Xenopus tropicalis: one gene and its partner. The protein of the gene in region 2 binds, or shares a complex with, the protein of the main gene of each other region. Links are inferred from orthologs where the notes say so. Each region holds a gene or a part of one and is shown on either strand. Other genes may lie near its edges. The genes, in order: nop10 and tert.

Evidence for each region.
Region 1: tert (region 2) and nop10 share a complex: the UniProt entries of both Homo sapiens proteins name them as parts of the telomerase holoenzyme complex. The link is inferred for Xenopus tropicalis from reciprocal best matches to the Homo sapiens genes TERT and NOP10.

What each region holds. Positions count from the first base shown.
Region 1 is NC_030677.2:142,942,181-142,946,106, forward strand, and holds the start of nop10 (H/ACA ribonucleoprotein complex subunit 3), read left to right. Parts: upstream 1-1,280; 5' UTR 1,281-1,322; coding exon 1,323-1,376; intron 1,377-3,926. UniProt on the Homo sapiens protein: Required for ribosome biogenesis and telomere maintenance. Part of the H/ACA small nucleolar ribonucleoprotein (H/ACA snoRNP) complex, which catalyzes pseudouridylation of rRNA.
Region 2 is NC_030682.2:58,800,370-58,804,195, reverse strand, and holds part of tert (telomerase reverse transcriptase), read left to right. Parts: intron 1-410; coding exon 411-596; intron 597-2,119; coding exon 2,120-2,246; intron 2,247-3,737; coding exon 3,738-3,799; intron 3,800-3,826. UniProt on the Homo sapiens protein: Telomerase is a ribonucleoprotein enzyme essential for the replication of chromosome termini in most eukaryotes. Active in progenitor and cancer cells. Inactive, or very low activity, in normal somatic cells.

The DNA of each region.
Region 1 (3,926 bases), on a different chromosome or scaffold from region 2:
GCTGCTCTACTTGGTCTTTCCTGACATTTTTTTAGTCGCATCCCACAGCAAAAGCCATGGTCCCCAGAGAGCTTCCAAAGCATCAGAGGGATCTCATTGTTAAAAGATATCAGTAAAGACAGTCATCATCAAGTGGAGAAAATTTGGCACAGCAGTGACATTACCAAGAACTGGACGTCCCTCCAAAATTGATGAAAAGACGAGAAGAAAACTGGTCAGGGAGGCTACCAAGAGGCACTTACTGGCACCCCAGAAACTTTTTTCATGCTTGTGTTGCTCCCCAACACTTTTTCCATTTGAATGTGGCTCACGGGTATAAGAGGTTGGGTATTCCCTTTCCCCAACTATACTTTCTAACTCCAACCTCTTACTGGAGTGGCTCTTCTCCCGATATGCCCACCTACGGGTGGCCGATATTGGGCCAAACCAATTAAAATGGCGGGTATAGAAGCTGTCAGTTCGGGGGCCACATCAACCAGCCAATGTGGTCTCTGATCAATGGAAAACCCAAACCTGCCCAATCGAGATCAGAAGACGGTCGGGGAGGCCCGACATTCGTGCCCATACACAGGCAGATGAGCTGCCAAATCCTGATATCATGAGCTAAAATCAGCCCGTGCATGGCCACCTTTAGACTCTTTCTAAAAGATACACCATGTAACTACTACTCTTTTTAGACCATTTTAACTCCATCCCCACCAACCTACTAGTAAACACCACCTCAAACCTCCCCTGCCTGCATGTTCTAACACTGTCAGATCCCGTCTCTATGCTAACTCCTTCTAAGCATCCCCTCCTTCCTGCTGCAATCCCTTTACACCCATTCCAACACGCTGGTAGGTCATAATCTTTTTTGATATTTTTATTCTTTGCAGAAGTGTCTCGCATCATAGGTACGTGTTCTAACCGCTAAACTCACAAGTGAGCTGATTGGTCAGCGCCCTCAAGCTGCCTCAGGAACGACTGAGAATGATACCCAGATTTACTGACTAGTTAGAACAAAGGCCAGACAACACAAATAAGGATTTGGGGCGCATGAATAACAAAACAAAACAAAAACAAGTAGGCTGTTACTGCCCGTAGTTACATAACAAACGGAGAATTTCGCTCTCGAAAATAAGGCGAAATATCAACACGAGAGCGGGATAGGGGGTGTGGAGAAGGAACTACTGAAGTGACGAACTTTACCGGAACAGGAAGTAGTTGTGCGGAAGTAGTATCGTCACCCTGTTGAGAAAAACGTGGGGCGCTTGGTGAGTGTGGAACCTGCGTGTGTTTCTGTTCGCTGTAGATTTGCGCGTGTCGCTGCCTGACGCTAGAGGATGTTTCTGCAGTTTTATCTAAACGAGCAGGGGGAGCGTGTATACACAATGAAGGTGAGCAATGGAACTATAAACCAGCATGTGATGGGCTGATATTTTCCTTTGACCTATACTATTCCTTAGTACCTGGAGGGTCGCACAAATGGGCAGTGCAACATGTTTTAATGCCTATAGAGAAAGTTAAGCGTTTAGTTCCAATTAAATTGAAAGAAAATTGTTTGCTTAAGTCCATCTGGTGGCCACGATTAAAGCATTTTATATAGGGATTATAGGAAAAGTATAGTGTAAAAATAAAACTGGGTAAATAGGTAGGCTGTGCGAAATAAAAAATATTTCTAATATAGTAAGGCAAAAATCTAATATATAAAGGCTGGAGTGAGTGGATGTCTTAAGACATAAATGTCAAACCCAAGGCCCGGGGGCCAAATCCGGCCCACCTGGCTGTTTTATGTGGCCCTTGGTGAGGGTGTCTGACCATCCAGCCTGATCAATTTCCATTTTCCTCACATAGTAACTAAGACTAAGGGGTATATTTATCATGCTGTGTGGAGTGAAGTATTAGGGCTCTAGCACACGAGGAGATTTGTCGCCTGCGTTTTTTCCCCCCTGGCGCTTTGGCGACAAGTCGCCACGACAATACACAAAGAGATTTCATGAGAGTTGAGCTCCAGGCGATCTGCTACCCATGGTACACTCAACAGTTACCCCTCTCATGTTTACTCAAGTCGCTCAGAAAAGGGTCTGTACGATTTGAAACAGCAGGCGATTTGAAGTAGCCTCGTATGTTTTGACGCTGGCGATTTCCATTTGTTTAGCATTGGCGTCTTGTCTTTCATCTTGTCGCCAAATCGCTCTTTTAAAAATCGCCGGTGACAAATCTCCTCGTGTGCCAGAGCCCTTAACAGTAATGTTGCCCAAGGCATCCAATCAGTAATCAGATTTCAACAGTAGCAAAGCATCTATTGGCTGCTATGAGCAACATCACTGGTAATGTCTTACTCCACTTTTTACACATTGTGATAAATATTCCCCTTAGTATCTTACTAAGTATATTAATAAAAAATTTGGCATGCGACTTAACCTGTTTTTTAGATTTCGGCCCCCTTATGTGATTGAGTTTGACACCCCTGTCTTAAGATAATAGCCAGAACACTACTTTCTGCTCTCTAAGCTGTTAGCCATCAATAACCAATCAGTGACTTGAGGGGTGACTTGTCCGATATGGGACATAACTGTTCAGTTAGTTTGTGAGCATGCAGGTCAGATTCATAAGCAAACTAACTGAACAGTTATGTCCCAGATCCAACCCCCCTCAAGTCACTGACTGGTAACAGCTTAAGGTCCCCATACACTATAAGACATCGCCAAGCGAGCAGATTTTCACCTGATATCCCCACCTACGGGTGGGCGATATCGGGTAGCAAGTAGCTTTAAAGAAAAATAATCGATCGTTTGGCCCTGGGGCCAAATGATCGGATTACATTTGCAGCCATGGGGCAGTCGGTTTGGGGACTGCATCAACGAGCCGATGCGGTCCCCGATCCGACTGGATTTTATAACTTGGCCGATCGATATCTGGCCAATTTCAGGCCAGATATCGGTCGGGCAGGCCGCTCGTTTCTGCCCCTACACGGGCCGATTAGCTGCCGAATCGGTCCAAGGGACCCATATCGGCAGCTTCTATCGGCTCGTGTATGGGGGCCTTTAGAGAGCTGTAAAGGAGGAAGTTATGTTAAACATCTGTTTACTCCAGCCTTTATAGATTACATTTTTGGCTAACTAACCATATTGAAAATGTTTTATTTTGCACAGCCTGTCTATTTAACCACTTTTATTTTTACACTGAACTGTTCCTTTAAAGGCTATGTCCAACTTTGTGTTAACATTTATTTAAGCCCCTATTGCCAAAAAAATATTTTGCCAATAGGAATTTAACAAATTGTTTCCTTTAAAATTTTCAATGAAGTCAGGGCTTATGTGATGTTGAGTCCTGCACTGTCTCACTGGAGGAGGGTTTGCCGGCCCCTACGTCCACTACTTTTTACAGAGGTTGGCAGCGCATAACAGGAAGAAGCAGGAGCAGCTCCAGTACTGTGCATGCCTTGTTTCCTCCTTGTATTGCATAAATTGTATTGCCAGCCAGTCTGATTCATATAGGGCTAATGAGTGAAGATATGCGCTGCGTTAAACCTTCACAAGGGGAATCTGAAACCAACACAGAACCTGATTGCAAGTGGTAACTTTGTTAAAAAGTGTAGCGGAAATTTTTTTTATGAAGAAATATTTATTGTCAGAATATTTATTTTGGTAACGGGCTTGTGTGAATCCCCAGTTATGAAGTTATGTTCAGTCTGTTTTCACATTGCAGCTTAGAATCCTGCATATAAGGTTATTGCACATGTGCAATCACTCAGACCTCTTTCCAACAGCCTGCTTGTGTTGTGATCAATGGTCAAATAATCGAATCAGACCAATATCACCCACCTCAAGGTGGGATTCTTTACATGTATGGCCAGCTTAAGTGAAGAAATAGTCATAGTACACATCATGATCAAGATCGTTGACCACCTTATATGTACTATAAATCTGCCCTTAACTTAGTGT
Region 2 (3,826 bases):
TTTTTACAGTGAGGGCAGTGAGGTTGGGGAATGCCCTTCCTAGTGATGTGGTAATGGCAGATTCTGTTAATGCCTTTAAGAGGGGCCTGGATGAGTTCTTGAACAAGCATAGTATCCAAGGCTATTGTGATACTAATATCTACAGTTAGTATTAGTAGCTGTATATATAGTTTATGTATGTGAGTGTATAGATTGGTAAGTATAGGTTTGTGTGTGCTGGGTTTACTTGGAAGGGTTGAACTTGATGGACTCTGGTCTTTTTTCAACACTATGTAACTATATAAAAGGCGTAATTTTCAGGTTGGAAACATCTTTTGCACTTAAACCAGATACAAGCGCTCACATGACTACTATTGGATGCAGAGGGGCTCTATAACTGATATACTAAATGTATGTATTTTTAACCACAGGACTCTGGCAGAAGGAATTCCCCAATATGGGTGCTCCATCAGCCCTCAAAAAACAGTGGTAAACTTTCCTGTTGATGACATCCCAGCATGCTCTGAAGTGGAACAATTACCTGTTCACTGCTTGTTCCGGTGGTGTGGTCTTTTGCTGGACACTCAGACTTTGGATGTTTACTATGATTATTCAAGGTTTGGATTATACAATATTTTACTTTTGATTTTATTTTCGATATTGCTTTATTATTTTTAATGCATTTTAAAAAATAAGTTTAAATTAATGGGTTCCTGGGTTTATATATAGATTTTGGCTGCAGTATCAATTTTTCTTAATATCTAGACAAGTGATGTTGTTCCCCTAGCGACAGCATTGGTTTCCTGACAGCATTGTCAGCATTGGTTTCCTGACAAGTGATTTTTCACCAGAAATACTCCAGGATACAGATTTTAATGTCCATGCATGATAACTTATCAGTCTTATGTAAATGGAAAGTGTCTTGTTTGGGGTAACAATTTCAACTCTTGTTACTTCCTTACAATTGGGCTCTCATTTTGTTTTAGTTTTTTACTTTTGTGCATTGATGTGCATATGTTTTTTCTTTTTCTTATATTCACATAGTCTGTATTGTGTCTTAAAAGCCTATTGGATGTAGAATTTTTTCATTCTTTGTACAGTTGTTGGAGGTTTTTCCACAAAATATCTGCTCCCAAGTTTTATACACTGCTCAAAAAAATAAAGGGAACACAAAAATAAGACATCCTAGATCTGAATGAATGAAATATTCTTATTAATACTTCGTTCTTTACATAGTTGAATGTGCTGACAAAATCACACAAAAATTATCAATGGAAAACAAATTTATCAACCCATGGAGGTCTGGATTTGGAGTCACACTCAAAATTAAAGCGGAAAAAAACACTACAGGCTGATTCAAATTTGATGTAATGTCCTTAAAACAAGTCAAAATGAGGCTCAGTAGTGTGTGTGGCCTCCATGTGCTTGGATGACCTCCCTACATGCTCCTGATGAGGTGGCGAATGGTCACCTGAGGGATCTCCTCCCAGACCTGGACTAAAGCATCCACCAACTCCTGGACAGTCTGTGGTACAATGTGGTGTTGGTGGATGGAGCGAGACATGATGTCCCAGATGTGCTCTATTGGATTCTGGTCTGGGGAACGGGCGGGCCAGTCCATAGCATCAATTTCTTTGTCTTGCAGGAACTGCTGACACACTCCAGCCACAAGAGGTCTAGCATTGTCTTGCAATAGGAGGAACCCAGGGCCAACCGCCCCAGCATATGGTCTCACGAGGGGTCTGAGGACTAGAGTGAAAGCACCGCCAGCATTCAAAAGTGACCAAAACATCAGCCAGAAAGCATAGGAACTGAGAAGTGGTCTGTGGTCACCACCTGCACAACCACTCCTTTATTGGGGATGTCTTGCTAATTGCCTATAATTTCCACCTGTTGTCTATTCCATTTGCACAACAGCATGGACAGTTTGATTTCACAGAAGTGTCATTAACTTGGAGTTACATTGTTGTTTAAGTGTTCCCTTTAATTTTTTTGAGCAGTGTATTTAATTTAACTATGTTATTATTTGAACCTGATGGAGAAGTGCATCATGCAAAAATTTATTTTTAGAATTTGTAAGGCAGTTATGGTCTGTGAATTGAAATTGCATTATTTTTATGAATATTTCTCCTCTCATTAGTTATGCCTGTACCTCAATCCGATCAAGTATGACATTTTGTCACAGTTCTGCAGCAGGAAAAAACATGAAACAAAAACTTCTAAGAGTCCTTAAATTGAAGTGCCACAGTCTCTTTCTTGATTTACAGGTAAAAATGAGCATGTCAAATACTTTTAACTAGAGTGAAACTTTACTACACACCCTGATTTTACCTTTTCTTACATTCTACATTGTTTTTTTGTGGTCTCACCGATATAATGCATTTCAATGAGTACTTTTTTTACATATCAATTTTGTCATATTTTCACAAAAATGGCTGTTTGTCCTCTGTGAATGTTATTATTACTAGGGATGCAGCGACTCCACTATTTTTGTGGATGCTGAAAAAGGCAGTATCTTGGCCGAATCCCAAACCGAATCCTAGATTTGATACATCCCTAATTATTAATGATAATCAATCCCCCCCCCCCCCATTGTGTAACATTAATGTTGCACTTCTTACTCCTTGTCATTAACACAGTAAATATTGTTATTTAAAGTCAAACTGACTCCTGTGCTTATAGCCTTAAGGTCCCCATACACGGGCGGATTATAGCTTCCGATATCGGTCCCTTGGACCAATTCGTCAGCTTATCGGCCCGTGTAGGGGCAGAACAGAAGGGCCTGGCCGACCAATATCTGGCGTGAAATTGGCCAGATATCAATCGGCCAGGTTAGATGCGGCTCGTTGATGTGGTCCCCGAACTGACTGCCCCATTGCCGCGTGTAGAATTCGACCGTTTGGCCCCAGGGCCAAATGATCGAATTCGCCTACATGCTTCCCCGATATCGCCCATCTGAAGGTGGGGATATCGGGTGAAGATCCGCTCGCTTGGCGACATCGCCAAGCGAGCGGATCTGCCCGTGTATGGCCAGCTTTAGAGTACTTGAAGAAGTTGCTTTAACACATTTATTAAAGGAGAAATGGCACACACTCCTTAGTCCACTAAAACAAAAAAGTCCTGAAGCGTTTCGTATTCAAAAAATACGTAGTCATACGTGCCGATGACTACATATTATTTGAATACGAAACACGCCAGGACTTCTTTGTTTTAAGATCTCTATAATTAAGACAAGTTTTAGTGGACTTAGGAGTGCGTGCCATTTCTCCTTCAATTGATGTTCATTTATACCTCAGGCTACGGGTTTAGGGTGCTGCACCAGAACCACGACTTGCTTTTGGTGAGTGCATTTTCCCTATAATTTTGCCAGGAGTGTTTTGAAGCTGTGTGTTGGAGGGGAAGGGTCTGGGGTTCGTACACCCGGACCACATAATTTACTGGGTGAGCCTATCATCACGTTATTTGCAATTAGGTTTTGGTGGAGAGCCTGGGGTTTATACACCTGGGCTCACATTCATTAATGGTGAGCCGTTAAAAGGGCTTTAGAAAGTCTTTTTAATAAGTTTTTTCCCCCTCCCCCTTACCATATAACTGAGCCACTTATTTTTTAGGATTGATGCTTTAACACATTTCACTGGTTTTACACTCATTTTTCCTGGTCCCCTAAAAAACATAAAATTGAAGTTCTTCTGTATGATGTTGCCATGATAGTTATTTGGTGATTGCGAATATTAATATGTCTCTGCTATTTTCTACAGGTAAATAGTTTAAGGACAGTTTTCATCAATACTTATAAGATATTCTTACTTCAAGCTTACAGGTTAGTGTGCTAATTTATTGCTATTAA